Macaca mulatta: one gene and its partners. The protein of the gene in region 1 interacts with the protein of each later gene in a biochemical or structural test. Links are inferred from orthologs where the notes say so. Each region holds a gene or a part of one and is shown on either strand. Other genes may lie near its edges.

Region 1 (3,965 bases):
ATGGTAGAGGATGAGGAACCTGATCAGATATTGAGCGTGGAGGGTTCTAACTGGATTTTCCAAGGAAATACACAGATAAACCTACGAGAAAGTTGAGGAGTCTGACTAAAGTTTGGCCAAGCAAAGAATCCTTGTCACCTTCCATCGTTGTATTCAAACACTTAAGACTCAAGCTGCTCACTACTATCTTTAGGCTCTAAAGAGAAAAGAAAAACAAAAACGATCAAGGGACATGGCATTATACTTTTACATTAGTAAATCCAAAGTCATTTTCTCAATCTCAGCAGTCAAGAATAAAATGATCCGCATTAGTATAGTGGCTAGATTTTATAAAATAAGAAAAAAATATTTTTAAAGAATAAAATGAAAAGAAGCAACAACTAATCAGTTTACCACTAGTTATCACTGAGCTAAGGTTTTGCAGGCCCATTTTACCCCCTCTCCCTTTGCTCTCTGCCATTTGAACCTCAGGTTCAGTGCTAGAATCTCCCCAGTACGAGGCAGATGCAGAGAAAGAGAACGGTGATGTCCACTGAAGGGGAGGAGGAGGGGAGACCATTGACGATCTTGGCAAAGACATTAGCTGTGTAGTAAGTCATCCTTTCTTCCCTTGCCATCTTGTGGCTGTGTTAGGCAGTGATTCTATTCCTGCTGTGTTGGAGGGAAACCACCCAGTCCGTAGTCAGAAGACCTGGATGCAGTATTAATTCTACCACTTACTAGCCGTGTGCCCTTGAACCCATCATTTAACTTCCTCCGTTTTTACATCTGCAAAATGGAACTACCACTATTTGCCTCAAGGAATTGTTTTGGATAATACGTTTTTCCGTGCATACCTGGTATAAGGCAGGTATAAAGTACATCTATTGAGGACATCCTTTCTTTCCGTGGCTTTTTTAACAGTAAAGGAGTATTCCTGGCCTGTGGTCCTACCTCTTGAACGGACGGCGCTGGGCCTACTCTCCGCGGCGAGTAGGCCTGCCCAGCAAAGCCCTAATCCAAGGGATCCGGCCCAAGCTTTCCCTGAATCCCTACCGCCCATGGACCGCTCACCTCCACTTTTGACATTTCCGCTTTCCTGCCGCAGCTGCGGATGGCGTCACTTCCACCGGAAAAGGCGAGCGCAGCCGCGCGGTTGGCGCGAAAGTCGGTTTCCGTTCTGGTCAATTTCCGGGTTCTCCAGCGTTTGCTTTGGGGTAGGGGCGGCGCCGAGTCGGGGGAGGGGGCTGTGCGCCGGGCTGGCGCCCGACCCCAGCCACCGCCCTGCGGGCAGCGCGTCCCCCGACTCGCCGCCCGGAGACCCCGAGGCCCCAACGAGGTAAGTAAGGCGCGGAGTGGGGACTCAGCTCCTCCCCGGCCCCAACTGGGGTTCGCGATGCGTTCTATGGCCTTCAGGACCCTCTTTTCCTGTCCTAGTAACTGGCCCTGGGACTGGCGGGTGGGCCTTTGACACCTAAAGGACGTGGCTTCCGTGATCCCAGAGCCAGGCCTTTTTCTGGAGCTGGGAACTGGAGCATCTGGCCTTATGCAGGGGCAAAGACCATGCTAACTGGCTTCCATGTTTATATTTAAAATCTGTTTACTGAGGGGTGAACGAACCTCGCAGGCCGTGAGTATCCGCAGGGACAGATGCACTCTGTGTATCCATAAAACAAGTGCAATTGAATGTCCATTGGCTTAGAGGGCTTAGAGCCTTCATAGCAGGGCCCTCCTCAGTGTATTCAATTCGGGTTAATTTTGCTCTCTGATTTGCAAGGATTGGTGTTGTCATGTTTTTCTTTGGCTTTGCCAAAGAAAACGGAGGAAGTTAAATGATGGGTTCAAGGGCACATTCCAGGGTTTCTTACAAATGCCTTTGACGAATTCACCGGCAAAGCCAGAATGTATGTCTTTAGGCATTCTTGTCTGCATGGAAAAATAGGTGGGTTAAACATGGAACTTTATACCTAATGTGGTTTTGTTCTTGTTAATGGTTCCTTTATTTTGACAGTTCAGAAATGTCCAGAAATGACAAAGAACCGTTTTTTGTGAAGTTTTTAAAGTCTTCAGACAATTCCAAATGTTTTTTTAAAGCTCTCGAGGTAAGAGTTGAAAACGTCTTAATACCGTGAATTCATTTTCTTGTTTTTAAGTGTTTTTGATTTGTTGGGCTTTATGTCTTAGAAGTAGATATTTCACTTTCATAATAATTTAATAGTCTACGTTAATACAGATATATCATTATTACATATTTTCGAATTGATCTAAGTACATTATTATGTATTTCGGGGGGCTGGAAGTCTATTATCACGTTGCTGTTTAATGTGACTGACCTGCAGTTTTTGGAAATTAAGTTGCTTTCATTTGCCTCCTAACCAGAGTGGTCCTTTGTGTGCTGTAAAAATTTGAGTCAGTCGTATACTGGTCATACTTGAAAATTTTTTGGTTAATTGTTAAAAATTATGTTTTATTATGTACAGTGTGATAATTGGATGATAGTAGAGGTGATGTAGAGCCTTGCTTCTCACAGATCTCAGCAGTATCAGCATGGCCTGGAAGTTTGTTCAAAATGCAGAATCTTGGCCTCCAATCCAGACTCACCACTTAGAATCTGCATCTTTAACAAGATCGTCAGTGTGCATTAAAGTTTGAGAAGCATTTGTAGCAGATTTTTAAAAATTTCATTCATTCAGCAAGTATTTATTGAAGTGTTCATGATTTGATAGGCACTTCTCTAGTACTTGGGATTTATCAGTGATCAGAACAGGCAAAGATTTCTGTTCTCTCAGAGCTTACATTCTAACAGGAGGACATAGACACTAATCAGACATGATAAATTGGGAAGAGAGAAAAGCAAAACAGGTTAAGGGGTTCCAGAGGATGTTTCTTGGGGGTGGGAAGAAAAGGGGGTTATAATTTTAAATAGCGTGCGATCAGGGTAGGCTTTATGGAGAAAAAGATATTTGAGTAAACGTGAAGGAGGTGAGATGCTTTGCAGATATTTGGAGAAGAATGTTTCAGGCAGAGAGAGCAACCTTATACAGCCCCTGGGAAAGTGTCTGTAGTCTCTATCCAAGTTTAGTGTTCTGTTGTGTAGTAAGTGAGGGATGGGGGAAGAGTGCTAAGGAATGTGTCAGAGAATAATGGTAAAGAGGTCATGTAGGGCCTTGTGGGCCATTTTTCTCTCAGTGGAGAGCCATTGGAGGGTTTCAATCAGAAGAGTAAACATGATCTGACTTACAGTTTTAAAGGGATTACTGTATTTAACATAAGGACCTCAAAACTGGTTCAGAACATTTTTGAGTGCTTACTGGGTGTCAGGATATAGTAGCAAACAAGATACATAACGAAACTTCCAGGGGAGAGAGACAAAAACTATATATATATGTATTTTTAAATAAAATAGACTAAAAGGGTAGAGGAAGGGTATTTGAGAAAGCATGGTTAGGATAGGCATCTCTGGGGAGGTGACATTTAAGCAGACCTGATTGAAGTGGGGGATTAAGTCAGGTGAAAACTTGGAAAAAGAGTATTCCCTGCTGCAAGATCAAGAGCAGAGCATCTAAATGAGGTTATGATTGGCTTGTTCCAGGGCTGGCAAGAAAGTGGGAGTGGCTGGAATAGAGTAAGCAAGGGAGATGAGAAGTAGGAGGTAAAGGTGGGAAGATAGGCAGGAACCAGACTGTGTTGTCTTGAAGGCTATAGTAAGAAATGTGGATTTTATTCTGGGTGCGGTGTGAAGACATTAGGTTTTGAGCAGACAGTGACATGATTTGACTTGTATTTTTAAAAAGATTATTAGCTGCTGTGTAGAGAACAGATTTAGGGCAAGGAAGGGAAAAAGACCATTTGGGAGCCTTCTGCAGAGGTCTAAGTGAGACATGATGGTGACTCTCAATAGGGAAAAGGCTGGATTTGAGATGGAATTTGAATAGGACCTAAATACAGGGGAGTCATTTCAGGTACGTTCTTATTTTATTTTTTCT
Region 2 (3,500 bases), on another chromosome or scaffold:
CTGCAGGGGAAACAGTGTGTTCAGGGCAGGAGAAGATGGAATTGAGGATATAGGGGATTTTGCTGATGAGGGTCAGTGAGTTCCAGAGGGCAGGGTGGGAGGATTTTATGTGTGGAAGGGCTGGGCCGAGGTGACAGGATGGAAGACGGAAGGAGCAGTGAGGAGATTCCAGTGGGCAGACTGGAGCGACCTAGGGGTCTAGGGCTTCGCATGATGGGAAAAAGCAGCTATCAAGGGGATCATGAGATTAATTCCTGGTGGTTTCAATGCAGCTAATGGTGCTGAACCTGTGAGTTTGGGGGGTAAGAAGTGTGGGTGTTTGGCCCACCCACACTCCTGCCCATGTAGGCGTGGAGACTACAAGGAGGGCATCTAACTCCGAGGGCCTAGGGCTCCCTCCAAAGTCCTGCCTGGGAGGCCAGTGGAGGGTGGCCTTGTTTTTAGCGTTGGGCTCCTGTTTGGCATTTGCTGGAAGAGGTGCAGGTAACTCTGTGAGGGGCACTCTCTCTCCATGCAGAGGGAGGCTTGAGACTTGGAGGCCTGAGGCAGGTATTTCTGGCCTTTCTCCCCTAATCCAGCATACAATGACTTGAGAAGAAACTATCATGTCATATTTATTCTCATAGACCTTTACTGCCCTTGTCTGAATTTTGTAATATAACAGCAGATGCAATTATAGGCATTTATGCTGTCATGTGATGTGAAGTTTCTTTTGCTTGTTTAAAAAATTCTACACAATCTTACACTAAAAATAATAGCTTTGGGAGAACTACAGTTGGGACAGACTTCTCAAAATCTTTGGCAGTGATAAAAACTAAGGCAATCCTGGGTGGGGGGACACGTGCCTGTAATCCCAGCTCCTCGGGAGGCTGAAGCAGAAAGATTGCTTGAGCCCAGGAGTCCAAGACCAGCCGGGCAACATGGCAAGACCTTGTCTCAATTAAAAACAACAAAAAAAGTGCAATCCTAATAAAAATTATAGTTTGATTAAAAGACACATTAAATTCATAATAAGTAAACTCCATAATAAATATACCTTATCCCTTAAAAGAAAGGTGAAGATGGCATGATGAAAGGGTTGAGGCTGTGGTATTATGGAGACAGGGGCCAATGACAACGATAGGGAACTACATCATAAGCACTTCCAGGAAAGTGCATGTGGCCAAACAGCCAAGGAGAAGAACACGAGTTGAAAGGGCGTAGTTGGCTGGGCATGGTGGCTCATGCCTGTAATCCCAGCACTTTGGGAGGCTAAGGCTGGCGGATCACGAGGTCAGGAGATCGAGACCATCCTGGCTAACATGGTGAAAGCCCATCTCTACTAAAAATACAAAAAATTAGCCGGGCGTGGTGGCGGGCGCCTGTAGTCCCTGCTACTCTGGAGGCTGAGGCAGGAGAATGGCGTGAAGCCAGGAGGCGGAGCTTGCAGTGAGCCGAGATTGCTCACTGCACTCCAGCCTGGGCAACAGTGAGACTCCATCTCAAAAAAAAAAAAAAAAAAAGAAAGGGTGTAGTGTACAGCACTGTGCTCCTCTGGCTGTTTGTATTTAGTTGTGTTTGTGCACTTTGAATTCAGCTGCTGCTACTTGGTGGCATAAAATAATAGCACATTAGGAATGATCACATAACCAAAGCAACATAATATTTTGTACTAATGTCACTACCTTACTTATCAATTGTGTGTAGGCTATTTGTAGAAAGTTTTGTATTGTAGAACAGACTGTATCTTAACTATGTATATAGTCTTGGAAGCAGCTCAGAAAACTGTATTTTGGAATTTGGTAAAGGAAGAACTGCAGTATTTTACAAGTTCTCTGCTGTAGCATGGCCCACAGTTTCTTCCAGGTTATAAATCAGTGTGCCAGCTTGTTGTCCAGTCTCCCCACCATGCTCCATCTGGGTGAGATCCTATTCCTGCATTAGAACCTAGCCCAAATACTGCATTCTCCATGAGACCTTCCTTGCCCATCTAGACAGAGTTAGCATATGCTAACATTTATACATATCTCCATGACTTCACAAGAGTGGACCTACTCTTCCTATCCTGGGAGCTCCTTTTGAAGTAGGCATTGTATTTATCTCTGAATTCTCTCACTGAAAGAAGGCCTAAAACTTGGTTGTCTCAATAAGTTTGAATACATTTTAAATATTTGGGTTTTTTTCCCCAAGACTTCATTAATGTCTAACATTTCATTTGTCTAGGGTCTTAGATGGACCTCTCAGAATCACAGAGTTCACTGAAATTTCTGTTACTGTTCCCCCAACCACCTCCTCCATCAGGCTTATTTTAAGAGAACCTTCTACCCTTACACTCCCCAACGCAGAGCCACATCTTCCTATTTCCAATTTACCTACTCAGTGCAACAGAATTGTGATATTCTGCAGTTTTGTTACTGTATATTTATTATTGTACAAAGCCTTTTTTTTTTTTTTTTTTTGAGACAGAGTCTCGCTCTTTGCCCAGGCTGGAGTGCAGTGGCGTGATCTTGGCTCACCGCAACCTCCGCCTCCCGGGTTCAAGCTTCTCCTGCCTCAGCCTCCTGAATAGCTGGGAATACAGGCACCTGCCACCACACCCAGCTAATTTTTGCACTTTTAGTAGAGACGGGGCTTTGCCATGTTGGCCAGGCTGGTCTCAAACGCCTGACCTCAGGTGATCCACCCACCTCGGCCTCCCAAAGTGCCGGGATTACAGGCGTGAGCCACTGTGCGCAACCGTACAAAGCCATTTTTAAGAACAGGACTAAGCGCGGTGGCTCAGGCCTATAATTCCAGCACTTTGGGAGGCCAAGGCAGGCGGATCACCTGAGGTCAGGAGTTTGAGACCAACCTGACCAACATGGAGAAACCCTGTCTTTACTAAAAATACAAAATTAGCTGGGTGTGGTGGCACATGTCTGTAATCCCAGCTACTCAGGAGGCTAAGGCAGGAGAATTGCCTGAACCCGGGAGGCGGAGGTTGCGGCTCATGAGCCGAGATCATGCCACTGCACTCCAGCCTGGGCAAGAAGAGTGAAACTCTGTTTCAAAAAAATAAATAAATAAATAGAAGAACAATATATATTTTTAAGCTGGTTAGAGGAACATTTCAGAAATAAGATGAGAGGATTTATAGCCAGTAATAACAAAAGATTTTAAATTGTATCTGTATGTTTTTCAGTAGCATTTTTTATTTACCACATAGGCCTGTAGCAGTCTGTGGTGCCAGAGAACAAATGTTAGCCGGAGAACAAATGCACTTTGTATGTCCTTTGGAGGGATGCAGTCAGTCCAGGGGAAGAGCAAGTGCTTAGAATTCTCTGCTTTGGTTCTTATGCGGTTTCCTCTCCTGCCTCTGTTCCTTTGCTCCAATAGCTTCTCCTGTTCCAGAGTGGGCCCAGCAGGAACTTGGCCACACCACTCCCTGGAGTCCAGCTGTTGTGGAAAAGTGGTTTCCTTTCTGTAACATCCGTGGTGCTAGTTCCAATTTGATGGAGTCATTTGGGTAAAACTTTTTTATA
Region 3 (4,116 bases), on another chromosome or scaffold:
CAAAAAAAAAAAAAAAAAGCCGGGCGTGGTGGGTGTGCCTGTGGTCCCAGATACTCAGGAGACTGAGGTGGGAGGATACCTTGAGCCCAGGAGTTCCAGGCGACAGTGAGCCGTGTTCGCGCCACTGCACTCCAGCCTGGGTGACAGAGCAAGAATATGTCTCGGGGAAAAAAAAAAAAAAAAAAAAAGGCACATAACCACGATCTACCCTCGTAAAACATTTCTAGAGCGTCCCAGCGGTGCCCCTCATCATCTGGCGGCCCCTAAGCCTCTCTGAGACTCACAGACCTACTCCCCTCTCCAGGGGGCGGAGCCCACACCGCTGAGCATTTACTCTTGTTCCTCCCTCTGCCAGGAGCACCGTTCTACCCCTTTCTGCCTGGAGAAGCTGCCGTTTTTCCTTCAAGGATCCTCGAAGCCAGAAGGAGCAGCCACCTCCCACTCCCAGCTGCTGCAAGCAAGCTGCTTTGACCTCTTTCTAGAGTTGGGGATTGCTGCTGGAGTTCGAGTCTCCGGCCCAGAGTGGGTGCGATGGTCTTGCTTGCACCGTGTATCCTCCGACAGACGCCCGGGAACTCTACTCAGTGGGTGACCCCAGAGAGCTCGCACCCACATTCGGACTCCGAGTCTAGCGCTCGGTCCACTGCACAGGAACCTCGCGCCCCAGAGCTGCGTCCTCTCTGCCCTTCGCGATCCGATGCGCGGCCCGCGGGACGCCCCGATCTCCAAGGGCGCTGAAGGCCGAGGCGTGCCTGGAGAGCCAGGAGCAGCTGACGGGCGCCGCGGGCCTCCCGGGTCACGTGACACCCGGGGCAACGTGCGCCGTCACGTGACGGCGGAGCCTGTGAACGTTTTTCTCACGTGACGGAGGCGCCTGCGTGTGGACCAATGGGGAGGCGGGGGAGGGGCTGGCAGGGGCGGTGCGCGGGAAGGACCCCGGGCTCTGAGGTCGCGGAGTGTGGGGTAGTGCTGGCCGCTGGCTGGGCGCTGGGGCAGCATGAAGTGCCTGGTCACGGGCGGCAACGTGAAGGGTGAGTGCGGGTCGGCCTGGCAGCGGCGGTGCAGGAGCCGCGGAGCCGCCAGCCTAACCCCCTTCCGCTCTCCTCCCCGCAGTGCTCGGCAAGGCCGTCCACTCCCTGTCCCGCATCGGGGACGAGCTCTACCTGGAACCCTTGGAGGACGGGGTGAGGGGCTGGGGTGTGGGGGGGCGGGTGGGACTCCAGCCGGGAGCGGGTAACCCGGACTCGAGTCTCGCCCCCACTAGGCGGGATGACCGCTGGCAGATTTGTCGGCAGAGTTTCAGTTTCTCAGCCTAGCGCCTGTCATCTTCCCAGGCCGGTGTGTGAATTGCAAGCTGGCCTCCTGTGAGCTCCCAGGGGGTAACGTGCCCTTAGAGAAACTCGGGGTAGGCCTGGGTGTGCGACCGCTCCTCTGCGGCAGCAGCCCCGAGGCCGACTCTGAAGGCTTCATGTGGAAGGAGGGTTTCAGCAGGTGGTGGCAGAGCGGGAGGACGATAGAGCAAGTGTGTGAGCAGAAGCAGCCGGAGGGCTGGGTCTGTGGCTGCCCCCTGACCACGTCCCTCTCCCTGCTCTTCGTGGCCCAGCTCTCCCTCCGGACGGTGAACTCCTCCCGCTCTGCCTATGCCTGCTTTCTCTTTGCTCCGCTCTTCTTCCAGCAATACCAGGCAGCAACCCCTGGTCAGGACCTGCTGCGCTGTAAGATCCTGATGAAGGTGAGGCCCTTCCCTCAGCAGTGGCACTGCCCCATCCCAGGAATCTCCACTAGCTGTGCCTCTGCCCTGGGGTACTCAGTAGATGCTAAGTGGGGAGAGAGACACGTGCAAGTCCAATCCATGCAAAACACAGGGAGGGCCTTGGTAAAAGCATCACAGCGGGGACCTGAGAGGGTGGTGAGGCTCAAGTTCGTCAAGAAAGGTAAGCAGGTCTTTTGGCCGGGTGCGGTGGCTCACACCTGTAATCCCAGCACTTTGGGAGGCTGAGGTGGGCAGATCATGAGGTCAGGAGTTCAAGACTACCCTGGCCAACATGGTGAAACCCCGTCTCTACTAAAAATACAAAAATTAGCCGGGTGTGGTGGTGGGGGCCTATAATCCCAGTTACTTGGGAGGCTGAGGCAGGAGAATTGCTTGAACCCGGGAGGCGGAGGTTGCAGTGAGCCAAGATCGCACCACTGCACTCCAGCCTGGGTGACAGAGCGAGACTCCATCTCAAATAAAAAAAAAAGAGAAAGGTAAGCAGGTCTTTCAAGGCATTGCAAGCATAAGGAAGAGCATGAATGAGGCCTAGAAGGATGCCAGTGTCCCGTGTGATGTGGGAGCCCTTTTCCCAGAGTTACAGGCTGGGCCCATGATTGGTGTGGGCCTACACGGGACAGGAGAGCTTGTTGCAGAGATGCGGTGCTAGGCTGAGGTGTCTTATCCCATTTAGTCCTTCCTGTCTGTCTTCCGCTCACTGGCGATGCTGGAGAAGACGGTGGAAAAATGCTGCATCTCCCTGAACGGCCGGAGCAGCCGCCTGGTGGTCCAGCTGCACTGCAAGTTCGGTGAGTGGGCAGCCGGACAGCCAAGGGGTGCCTCAGCAGGGAGGTCGGCGAGGCCCACTGAGACCCTATCGCCCATCCAGGGGTGCGGAAGACTCACAACCTGTCCTTCCAGGACTGTGAGTCCCTGCAGGCCGTCTTCGACCCAGCCTCGTGCCCCCACATGCTCCGCGCCCCAGCACGGTGAGCACACCCCTGCCCTCAGCTCAGCTCCAGGTCTCTCTCTTCCTTCTTTGGGGCCTCAAGGGTTGATTTAAGAAGGTATGTCCTTCATTTCCCTACAGAGTTTCTGTGAACCTCAAAGACATCCCATGGCCCGCTATGTGCTCAGGTCCTTACCTGGCTCTTTAAAGGCAGACGGTGGCATGGAGGAGGGGCAGGCGCCTCCTTGCTCCATTCTCCTCACTGTTAGGAGCCTTCGTTCTCCATCCCAAAGGTCTGACTTGACTTTCTGGCTGCTCAGACCCATTCCAATTCCTCCTCTAGGAAGCAGATTTCTGGCCTGCCACCAAATCTCTTGTCTGGCTTGAGTAACCTTGAAGGTCTTCCCTTAACCTGTGGCTCAGAGGCTCACACCCCTTCTCCGGCCTGGGCATCCTTCCAGAGGTGCTCCCCACTCAAGGGCAGCCTCTTTTCCTGACTGCCCAGGATCAAGGAGTCCCCAAGGCCAGGGCAGGAGGCTGGAGGGAAGGTTGTGGTTCAGGAGGGCTGCCTGAGTAATCAGCTGTGGGTGGAGCCATTCTGGGCAGTCCGAGCACTGGGGGCTGTCTGGGGCCAGGGAAACAGGGACTCCAGTGGAAGCAAAGGTCCCTGGCAAGGACCAGTTCAGAGAGGAGTGGGCTCTCCCCCTGTCCCTGTCCCACGCTGGACACTGCTTGTATTCAAGTGGCCCAAGGTCCTGCTTATTTCTCAGGGTGACTGAATGTCCCTTTGGGTCCTGACATCTGTTTCCCTAGGTTCTCTTGAGCCAGCACTGCTCAGAGCTCTTTTGGGTAGAGAGGGGGGCCAATTCCTTGGGCTGCATTTAGGGTTTTTTGGTTGGTTTTTTTTTGAGATGGAGTTTTGCTCTTGTTGCCCAGGCAGTGGCACGATCTAGGCTCACCACAACCTCCGCCTCCCGATTCAAGTGATTCTCCTGCCTCAGCCTACCAAGTAGCTGGGATTGTAGGCATGCGCCACCATGCCTGGCTAATTTTTTGTATTTTTAGTAGAGACAGGGTTTCTCTTTGTTGGTCAGGCTGGTCTTGAATTCCCAACCTCAGGTGATCTGCCCGCCTCAGCCTCCCAAAGTGCTGAGATTATGGGCGTGAGCCACCGCGCCCTTTTGTGTGTGTGTGTGTGAGATGGAGTCTCGCTCTGTCGCCCAGGCTGGAGTGCAGTGGCGGGATCTCGGCTCACTGCAAGCTCCGCCTCCCGGGTTCACGCCATTCTCCTGCCTCAGCCTCCCGAGTAGCTGGGAGTACAGGCGCCTGCCATCACGCCTGGCTAATTTTTTGTATTTTTAGTAGATGGGGTTTCACCATGTTAGCCAGGATGGTCTTGATCTCCTGACCTCGT
Region 4 (3,500 bases), about 75 Mb from region 1:
TGAGTGAAGCCCAGACTCAGTGATTTGCTTCTAACAAACAGAATGTGGCACAGGTGACGCTGTGTGACTTCTGAGGCTAGGCCACAAAAGGACAGCTTCTGCCTGGCTCTCTCTCTCTCTGGATTTGCTGGCTTTAGAGGAAGCCACCCACCAGGTTATAAGGATACCCCGTATCCATGTGCAGAGGCCCATGCGGCAAGGAATTACACTGCCAGTCATGTGAGTGAGCCATCTTGAAATAGATCCTCCAGCTTAAGACAAGCTTTCAGTGATTCCAGTCCCTGCAGAGATTGTCCCCACTGTGCCCTGTCAGAATTGCTGATCACAGAAATTGGGAGAAAATAAATAACAATTGTTTTAAGCCACAAATTTGGGTAGTTTGTTAAAAAGCAATAGATGACTTATGGACTTACCCTCTCTGCCCACCAGCGGCTTGTATCCTGACTCTGTCTGGCAGGGGTGGGGAAGGGACATGTTAGCACTAAAAGACTCCTTTGTAGGAAAAGATGTTTTTCCAAATTGTGGAGAACATGCTTCTGGCTTTATAACCACAGAAGGGTTTTTCCTAGGACTGGAAAAAGTTAACTATGAAAGCAAAGTAATGATTCTACTAAAACAATTCAAAATACCTGGTTACAAAATTTCTAACAAACTTTAAACTTTTCATGTCTAGGTGTTTTAACCAAAGGTTTTATCTATTATGTCTACCATTCTTTGTCAGGGGAGCAGTGCAAAATTCCAGGCATTTGGTTTTCTTTTTTAAAAATATTTTTAAATTTTAATTTCTCTATAGAGATGGGGTTTCGCTAAGTTACCCACGCTGGTCTGGAACTCCTGAGCTTGAGTGATCCACCCACTTTGTTCTCCCAAAGTGCTGGGATTACGGGCATGATCCACCGTTACTGGCCAATTCCAGGCATTTTGATCCAAATCGTTGAAAAAGTTTTTTATTCATTTTTCTATTTTTCTAATCATCCAAAAATATAATATTAGCCAAAATTCTTTTACTATTCTTTATTATCACTATTTCCAATTCCACCAAAACTTTTTTTTTTTTTTGCGACAGAGTCTTGCTCCGTTGCCCAGGCTGGAGTACAGTAGCATGATCATAGCTCACTGCAGCCTTGACCTCCTAGGCTCAAGCGATCCATCCACCTGTAATCCCAGCCTCCTGAGTAGCTGGGATTACAGGCACACACCAACATGACCAGATAATTTTTTTTTTTTTTTTTTGGTGAGACAGTGTCTCACTCTGTTGCCCATGCTGGAGCCCAGTGGCACAATTATGGCTCACTGTGGCCTCGACCTCTTGGGCTCAGTGATCCTCCCACCTCATCCTTCTGAGTAGCACAGGGACTACAGGTATGCAACCACCACATCTGGCTAACTTTTTATTCTTTCTAGAGATAGAGTTATTTCTAGAGATTGGGTTTCACCATGTTGCCTAGGCTAGTCTTGAACTCATGGGCTCAAATGATCAGCCCACCTCAGCTTCCTAAAATGCTGGGATTACAGGCGTGAGCCACCAGGGCCGGTAATTTTATTTTATTGTTTTTTTAGTAGCAGTGGGGTTTTGCTATGTTGCCCAGGCTGGTCTCGAACTCCTAGCCTTAAGCAATCTTCCTGCCTTAGCCTCCTGTGTAGCTGGGATTGCCTGTGTAGCTACCATGCCTGGTGCAAAACATCTTTTCAATGTGGAACAAACTGTTTTTTTTTTTTTTCTGGGACGGAGTCTCGTTCTGTTGCCCAGGCTGGAGTACAGTGGTGTGATCTTGGCTCACTGCAACTTCTGCCTCCAGGTTCAAGTGATTCTCCTGCCTCAGCCTCCCAGGTAGCTGGGATTACAGGCGCATGCCACCATGCCCAGCTAATTTTTATATTTTCAGTAGAGACAGGGTTTCACCATGTTGGCCAGGTTGGTCTCGAACTCCTGACCTCAAGTGATCTGCCCGCCTCAGCCTCCCAAAGTGTTGGGATTACAGGTGTGAGCCACTGCGCCCAGCCAATGTGGAACAAACGATTTTTTAATAGTCACAAGACTTCCAGGCTGGGTGTGGTGGCTCACACCTGTAATCCCAGTAATTTGGGAGGCTGAGGCGGATGGATCACCTGATGTCACATGGTGATATCCCGTCTCTACTTAAAAAAAAATACAAAAAATGCCCGGCGCGGTGGCTCACGCCTGTAATCCCAGCACTTTGGGAGGCCGAGGCGGGCGGATCACAAGGTCAGGAGATCGAGACCACGGTGAAACCCCGTTTCTACTAAAAATACAAAAAATTAGCCGGGCGCGGTGGCGGGCGCCTGTAGTCCCAGCTACTCAGGAGGCTGAGGCAGGAGAATGGCGTGAACCCGGGAGGCGGAGCTTGCAGTGAGCCGAGATTGCACCACTGCACTCCAGCCTGGGCGACAGAGCGAGACTCTGTCTCAAAAAAAAAAAAAACAAAAAAAACAAAAAAACTAGCCTGGCGTGGTGGTGTGTGCCTGTAATCCCAGCTACTTGGGAGGCTGAGACAGGAGAATCACTTGAACCTGGGAAGTGGAGGTTGCAGTGAGCTGAGATCATGCCACTGCACTCCAACTTGGGCAACAGAGCGAGACTCTGTTTCAAAAAAAAAACTTCCAATAGAATGCAAAGACTTTAAATAGAAAAAGAGTTATCAAAATAAGTATCAAAATTTTGATAAACCTATTAAGTATGTTGAAAACTGAGCAACTTCTCAGTGCTAATGTCTTTATGTTAGAGAAGCAGTGTTAACCCTCTGATCTGATCATATAATGCTGAGGTCTTTCTGTTACTGATGTGTGAAGAGGATCCCCTCTGCTCTCTTATGTGGACAATGCAAGGCATGGAGAGTTCAGTTTCACACACTGCCCATTATGAGCAAAGGCAGCAGAATGTTCAAAACCAGAAGATGCCCTGACACTGTTCAAATCTCAAGGCTGGGCCAGGCACAGTGGCTCATGCTTGTAATCCCAGTAGTTTGAGAGGCCCAGGCTGGCAGATCATTTGAGTCCAGGAGTTCGAGACCAGCCTGGCCATGATGAAACCCCATCTCTAAAAATACAAAAAGTAGCCAGGTGTGGTGGTGCATGCCTGTAATCCCAGCTACTCGGGAGGCTGAGGCAGGAGAATCACTTGAATTTGGAAGGTGGAGACTGCAGTGAGCCGAGATCACACCATTGCACCCCCGCCTAACAGAGTGAGACTCCATCTCAAAACAACAACCACAACAACAAAAAACCACAGCAAATTTCAAGGCTGATACTGACAGTGCCAGACATCTCTGTAAGGCAGAGGGCAGGACAGATCATTAACAAGTTGAGGCCAGGCACGGCGGCTCATGTCTGTAACTCAGCACTTTAGGAGGCCGAAGTGGGAGGATTGCTTGAGCCCAGGAGTTCAAGATTAGCTTGAGCAACATAGTGAGACCCCGCCTCTGTATAAAAACAAAACAAGGCCGGGCTCAGTGGCTCACGCCTGTAATCCCAGCACCTTG
Region 5 (3,090 bases), on another chromosome or scaffold:
TTCCTCCCCCCTGTGCTTGGAGTTGGCTTTGCATTATTTACTGAGGGCCTTCTTTGTTCCAGGCATTCTGCTAGGTGCTGGGAATCAAGAACAAGACCGCTGGTCTCTACCCTCATGAAGTTTAAAGATAAGTTATATCTAGGCCAGTCATTGTGGCTCACGCCTGTAATCCCAGCACTTTGGGAGGCTGAGGCGGGTGGATCACTTGAGGTCAGGAGTTTGAGACCAGTCTGACCAACATGGCAAAAACCTGACTCTACTAAAAATACAAAAATTGGCTGGGTGCCGTGGCTCATGCCTGTAATCCCAGCACTTTGGGAGGCCAAGGCAGGTGGATAACTTGAGGTCAGGAGTTCAAGGTCAACCTGCTCAAAATGGTAAAATTCCGTCTCTACAAAATATACAAAAAGTAGCTGGGCATGGTGGTGCGTGCCTGTAATCCCAGCTACACGGGAAGCTGAGGCAGTAGAATTGCTTGCATCAGGGAGGCAGAAGTTGCAGTGAGCAGAGCAGAGTGCCATTACACTCCAGCCTGGGTGACAAGAGCGAAACTCTGTCTCAAAAAAAAAAAAAAAAAATATATATATATATATACACACACACACACACACACACACATAGCTGGGCGTGGTGGCAGGCGCCTGTAGTCCTGGCTACTCAGGAAGCTGAAGCAGGAGAATCGCTGGAACCTGGGAGGCAGAAGTTGCAGTGAGCTGAGATTATGCCACTGCACTCCAGTCTAGATGTCGGATTGAGACTCCATCCCAGGGGGAAAAACGTTATATCCCTGTGGTGTGATGAACGGAAAGAGACATCATCCCCTTTCCTACACACGAGGAAGCTGAAGGCCAGAGAGATGGAATAATTTGCCGAAAGCATCCTGTTACTATCCCATTAGACAGCTATTTTAGTTTTGTGTTCATTACTACATTAGACCCCGATTTAAGAGTCTGGTCATCAGATATAGTTTCCTCTCTTAGGTTAGTACTTAGTTAGGCTCACCTCACTTTTTTTTTTTTTTTTTAAAGGTATCACCTGATTTTGATACAACAGCAGGAAGCTTGTTCCCAGCCTACCGGAAACACCACCACCAAAACCGGGCGAGACATTCAAGTCGAAAATCTACCACCTCCAAGTTTCCACATCTAACTTTTGAGAGTCCGCAGTCTTCCAATTCAGAGACATTGGGGATCCCCTTAATCCGGGAGTGCCCCAGTGAATCAGAAAAGGATGTTTCCAGAAGACCCTTAGTTCCAGTGCTCAGTCCCCAAAGCTGTGGGGACATGTCAGCACAGGCACTTCCGAGCTTACCTTATGTGTTCATTCCACCTGATATCCAGACCCCAGAGTCATCGTCTGTGAAGGAAGAACTCATTCCCCGGGATCAGAAGGAAAATAGCCTTCCAAGCTGCTCTCTTCACACTGGCACTCCTGATAGCCCAGAGCCTGGACCTGTTCTGGTTGAAGACACCCCCGAAGACAAGTATGGAATAAAGGTCACGTGGAGGAGACGACAGCACCTGCTTGCTTACCTCAGGGAGAGAGGGAAGCTGAGCAGAAGCCAATTCCTTGTGAAAAGCTGACTGCCATCAGCAATCTCAATAGAAAAGAGACATGTTTTTTGGAGTCATAAAGGAATTCAATTCCCAGGGGTTTTTTTTGTTTGTTTGTTTTATTTTGTTTTGTATTTTGAGATGTAATATCGCTCTGTTGCCCAGGCTGGAGTGCAGTGGTATGATCGCATCTCACTGCAACCTCCACTTCCTGGGTTCAAGCAATGCTCCTGCCTCAGCCTCCCCAGTAGCTGGGATTACAGGCACCTGCCACCATGCCTGGCTAATTTTTTTGTATTTTTAGTAGAGATGAGGTTTCTCCATGTTGGCCAGGCTGGTTTCAAAATCCTGACCTCAATTCATCTGCTGACCTGGACCTTCCAAAGTGCTGGGATTACAGGCGTGAGCCACCGCGCCCAGCCGAGATTTGTTTTCTAAGATACTTTGTGTCATGAACAGTTGAGTTTAGTGTCATGAACTATTCACTTTATATTTTTCTTGTATTAACTGTTTAAATTTTTAAAATATCTTGTAGTAACTCTTTAAAATGTATGTAAGTAAATGGCTACAGAAAGTTTTTTTAGAGAATCCTGCTTCTGTCAGTAATACAGCAATATTACCCCATCCACTAAAGGTCTTTGTCTCCTTAACCACTACTTGTTAATCCTTTAATCACCTCATTCAAACCAATTCATTCTGCATTTTTGAGTACCAGCTCTTGTCAGGCTCAATGGCAGCTTCTATGAGCTGATGGATGGAAAAAAATCAAACTGTGACTCTGTGGTTGACTGCCACCTCTGCAACCTTGACTCATCTGCTGAAAAGGCAAGAAGAAGAAAGGGCAGCAAGCCCTGTTTTAGGGACTATATGAGATCAGGGAAGATAAAGGGGACGTAGATGAGTTCTTTAGGATTGCCTATGTTTTGAGTTTTTGTTTCTAACTGAAGAAATCTATCAATATTAAATAGGGTGAGAAAATGATTTCTTAGAGTAACTGTTCAACTGTGTATAAATAAATAAGGAAAGTTTTCAATGAATATTACTTATTGTAATTAATGCAGAAGGACTTCCCTAGTCAACCGAATGTCTCAGATGGCCTTTTACTCAGATAAGTACATCTCATTAAACCCCATTCATCCAGCATTCATTCAGCTGGACCTACTGTGTCAGGTCCAGCCCCAACTAGATCAAGCAGGGATTACTCTGCATATTTTACAGATGGGAATTTGACGCAGAGAATGAACCATACACAGGGTCACACAGTGAGTGCAGGCTGACCCAGGCAGTGTAACGGTCCACTCAGCGTGTGCCTCCTAAAGTTCTAACTTGTAGGTTCAAAACCAATGTGGGAAACAACTTTGACCTTAGAATGCCATAAAGCCATTTGTGCAGAGACTCGTCAGGACTTAGGATGTTCTGTAGGGATGATGTGCATGTCGGTAGGGAGAAAGGGACTGACATTTGGGGACGGGATTTATTGGAGACAGAGTACACTTTTAGACAGGGGCTTCCACTGTGGGCTATGGATGTTTGAGGA
Region 6 (3,029 bases), on another chromosome or scaffold:
TATCCTTGGATTGGCCGTAGGGTGTGGAAGGCAGGCTTAGCAGGCAGGGGCTCCACCCAAGTGGGACTAGAGAGGCTTGGATTCAGGAGAGGGCTCTGGTTGTTTTGGTTGCAAGTCCTGGCTCAGCATTTTCTCACTGTTGTGACGCTGGATAAATTGCTTAACCTCTCTGGGCCTCAGTGTTATTTATAAAAGTGAAATAATAATATCCAATTCTGAAATTGTACAGATTAAAAAAGAAAAGTGGCTAGGTGCAGTGGCTCATGCCTGTAATCCTAGTGCTTCAGAAGGCTGAGGTGGGAGGATCACTTGAGCCCAGGAGTTTGAGGCTGCAGTGAGCTCTGGTTGAGCTACATCACTCCAGCCTCGGTGACATAGCGAGACCCTGCCTCTAAAAAAATGAATTCCCAGCACCAGGCCTGGAGTTGTGTTGAACATTTTACATGGAATCGTTCCCGGTAGCTATTATCATTACCTTGGGATTCAATGGGTAGAGTGATTCCATTATATAGATGTGGAACTTGAAACTCAGGAATGAGGTAGGTTTTGAACGGGTAGGAGGTTGGGAGGATAGGAGTGACTAGGCAGGTGTGAGCCCTGCCTTGTAAGCTGTTGGAGTGAGTGACCCCCTAGAAGTCAAAGGTCATGTGGTCCTTGACTCTGCCAACCCTGGCCTATGTGACGTGTCAGGACCTTCGTAGCATTGCAGACCCTGCAGAGCAGATGGTTATGGTGATCAAAGCCCCTCCCGAGACCCAGCTCCAAGCCGTGGACTCTTCGGAGGTGAGATCTGGGAACTCCAGGCCCAACTGGGCTGGGCTGGGCTGTGCTGGTAGTCACCTGGGCCTCAGTTTACCCTGCCTGCTGTTTCCACCCAGACCTTTCAGATCTCCCTTAAGAGCAAACAAGGCCCCATCGATGTTTTCCTGTGCCCTGAGGAGACCGTGGGTGGGATCAGCCCTGGGAAGACCCCGTCCCAGGAGGCCACTTCTGAGGAGGAGAACAGGGCCACTGACTCTGCCACCATAGTGTCACCACCACCATCATCTCCCCCCTCATCCCTCACCACAGATCCCAGCCAGTCTCTACTCAGCCTGGAGCAAGGTGGGTGATGGGTAGGTGGGTGGGGTGGGGCAGGGCCCCTCTTCTGGGGGTGGGCAGGCACGACAGCCCCTGCCTTCCTTCCTGCTGGGGCATCCCCGGCCTGTGATGCTCCCCGTCTCTCCAGAACCGCTGTTGTCCCGGATGGGCAGCCTGCGGGCTCCCGTGGACGAGGACCGCCTGTCCCCGCTGGTGGCGGCCGACTCGCTCCTGGAGCATGTGCGGGAGGACTTCTCCGGCCTCCTCCCTGAGGAGTTCATCAGCCTTTCCCCACCCCACGAGGCCCTCGACTACCACTTCGGCCTCGAGGAGGGCGAGGGCATCAGAGACCTCTTCGACTGTGACTTTGGGGACCTCACCCCCCTGGATTTCTGACAGGGCTTGGAGGGACCAGGGTTTCCAGAGATGCTCACCTTGTCTCTGCAGCCCTGGAGCCCCCTGTCCCTGGCCGTCCTCCCAGCCTGATTGGAAACATTTAATTTATACCCCTCTCTCCTATCTCCAGAAGCTTCTAGCTCTGGGGTCTGGCTACCGCTAGGAGGCTGAGCAAGCCAGGAAGGGAAGGAGTCTGTGTTTGTGGTGTGTATGTGCATGCAGCCTACACCCACACGTGTGTACCCGGGGTGAATGTGTGTGAGCATGTGTGTGTGCATGTACCGGGGAATGAAGGTGAACATACACCTGTGTGTGCACTGCAGACACGCCCCAGTGTGTCCACATGTGTGTGCATGAGTCCATGTGTGCGCGTGGGGGGGCTCTAACTGCACTTTCGGCCCTTTTGCTCTGGGGGTCCCACAAGGCCCAGGGCAGTGCCTGCTCCCAGAATCTGGTGCTCTGACCAGGCCAGGTGGGGAGGCTTTGGCTGGCTGGGCTTGTAGGACGGTGAGAGCACTTCTGTCTTAAAGGTTTTTTTCTGATTGAAGCTTTAATGGAGCGTTATTTATTTATCGAGGCCTCTTTGGCAAGCCTGGGGAATCAGCAAAGGGGAGGAGGGGTGTGGGGTTGATACCCCAACTCCCTCTACCCTTGAGCAAGGACAGGGGTCCCTGAGCTGTTCTGCCCCACACCGAAGGAGCTGAGGCCTAGGTGATTTATTTATTGGGAAAGTGAGGGAGGGAGACAGACTGACTGACAGCCATGGGTGGACGGATGGTGGGGTGGGGCCTCTCCAGGGGGCCAGTTCAGGGCTCCAGCTGCCCCCCAGGATGGATATGAGATGGGAGAGGTGAGTGGGGGACCTTCACTGATGTGGTGGGCAGGAGGGGTGGTGAAGGCCTCCCCCAGCCCAGACCCTGTGGTCCCTCCTGCGGTGTCTGAAGCGCCTGCCTCCCCACTGCTCTGCCCCACCCTCCAATCTGCACTTTGATTTGCTTCCTAACAGCTCTGTTCCCTCCTGCTTTGGTTTTAATAAATATTTTGATGACGTTTGGGTCGGGTTTTGGGACTCTGTTGGGAACAGTTCGGGGCGGGAGAGGCCAAGGTTGCTGGGGAAATGCCCATTCTCCGCTTCCCTTCTCTCCGTCCCTGCTCGATTTGATTTGAGTCTCAGAACTCGAAGAAAGGTCAGCTTCATCGCTATTTTGGTCCTAACTCAAAAGCCGATCCAGTAAAGGTTTTTGTGGAAAGCCAAGAATGCTACTCAGTGCTGCCCGAAGTGCAGCGTAATGAGTGGCCTCTCCTTTTCCCAGCCCCAGAGGCCACTGTGCTCAGTTTGCTGTCTTCCAGACGTTTCTGGACATTAGTAAACATGCAACAAATGACAGTGGACTGGTTCTGTGTCAGGTATTTAGCAGTTCTGGGGACACGAGTGTTACCTCCCTTCTTGGTGCTCTCAGGGTCTGAAGGAGATCTACTTAAATGAGAAAATCAGGAAGTGCTTGAGTTCAGCGCTGTAGAATAGGTAGGAGTTAACCAGAGGAAGAAAACAA

Evidence for each region.
Region 2: the proteins of TOPBP1 (region 1) and TICRR form a complex in vitro, tested with the Homo sapiens proteins (2 studies listed by BioGRID). The link is inferred for Macaca mulatta from reciprocal best matches to the Homo sapiens genes TOPBP1 and TICRR.
Region 3: the proteins of TOPBP1 (region 1) and RAD9A form a complex in vitro, tested with the Homo sapiens proteins (4 studies listed by BioGRID). The link is inferred for Macaca mulatta from reciprocal best matches to the Homo sapiens genes TOPBP1 and RAD9A.
Region 4: the proteins of TOPBP1 (region 1) and ATRIP form a complex in vitro, tested with the Homo sapiens proteins (2 studies listed by BioGRID). The link is inferred for Macaca mulatta from reciprocal best matches to the Homo sapiens genes TOPBP1 and ATRIP.
Region 5: the proteins of TOPBP1 (region 1) and RHNO1 form a complex in vitro, tested with the Homo sapiens proteins (2 studies listed by BioGRID). The link is inferred for Macaca mulatta from reciprocal best matches to the Homo sapiens genes TOPBP1 and RHNO1.
Region 6: the proteins of TOPBP1 (region 1) and E2F1 form a complex in vitro, tested with the Homo sapiens proteins (4 studies listed by BioGRID and IntAct). The link is inferred for Macaca mulatta from reciprocal best matches to the Homo sapiens genes TOPBP1 and E2F1.

What each region holds. Positions count from the first base shown.
Region 1 is NC_133407.1:36,717,606-36,721,570, reverse strand, and holds the start of TOPBP1 (DNA topoisomerase 2-binding protein 1), read left to right. Parts: upstream 1-1,165; 5' UTR 1,166-1,318; intron 1,319-1,990; 5' UTR 1,991-1,997; coding exon 1,998-2,081; exon of another isoform or gene 2,082-2,165; intron 2,166-3,941; exon of another isoform or gene 3,942-3,965. UniProt on the Homo sapiens protein: Scaffold protein that acts as a key protein-protein adapter in DNA replication and DNA repair. Composed of multiple BRCT domains, which specifically recognize and bind phosphorylated proteins, bringing proteins together into functional combinations.
Region 2 is NC_133412.1:79,402,440-79,405,939, forward strand, and holds part of TICRR (treslin), read left to right. Parts: intron 1-3,354; coding exon 3,355-3,484; intron 3,485-3,500.
Region 3 is NC_133419.1:6,990,357-6,994,472, reverse strand, and holds the start of RAD9A (cell cycle checkpoint control protein RAD9A), read left to right. Parts: upstream 1-1,316; 5' UTR 1,317-1,468; coding exon 1,469-1,732; intron 1,733-2,447; coding exon 2,448-2,562; intron 2,563-2,642; coding exon 2,643-2,742; intron 2,743-4,116. UniProt on the Homo sapiens protein: Component of the 9-1-1 cell-cycle checkpoint response complex that plays a major role in DNA repair. The 9-1-1 complex is recruited to DNA lesion upon damage by the RAD17-replication factor C (RFC) clamp loader complex.
Region 4 is NC_133407.1:111,863,788-111,867,287, reverse strand, and holds part of ATRIP (ATR-interacting protein), read right to left. Parts: intron 572-3,500; coding exon 414-571; intron 1-413. UniProt on the Homo sapiens protein: Required for checkpoint signaling after DNA damage. Required for ATR expression, possibly by stabilizing the protein.
Region 5 is NC_133416.1:3,787,411-3,790,500, forward strand, and holds the end of RHNO1 (RAD9, HUS1, RAD1-interacting nuclear orphan protein 1), read left to right. Parts: intron 1-1,028; coding exon 1,029-1,583; 3' UTR 1,584-2,590; downstream 2,591-3,090. UniProt on the Homo sapiens protein: Involved in microhomology-mediated end-joining (MMEJ) DNA repair by promoting recruitment of polymerase theta (POLQ) to DNA damage sites during mitosis.
Region 6 is NC_133415.1:86,447,443-86,450,471, reverse strand, and holds the end of E2F1 (transcription factor E2F1), read left to right. Parts: intron 1-668; coding exon 669-783; intron 784-878; coding exon 879-1,104; intron 1,105-1,228; coding exon 1,229-1,476; 3' UTR 1,477-2,529; downstream 2,530-3,029. UniProt on the Homo sapiens protein: Transcription activator that binds DNA cooperatively with DP proteins through the E2 recognition site, 5'-TTTC[CG]CGC-3' found in the promoter region of a number of genes whose products are involved in cell cycle regulation or in DNA replication.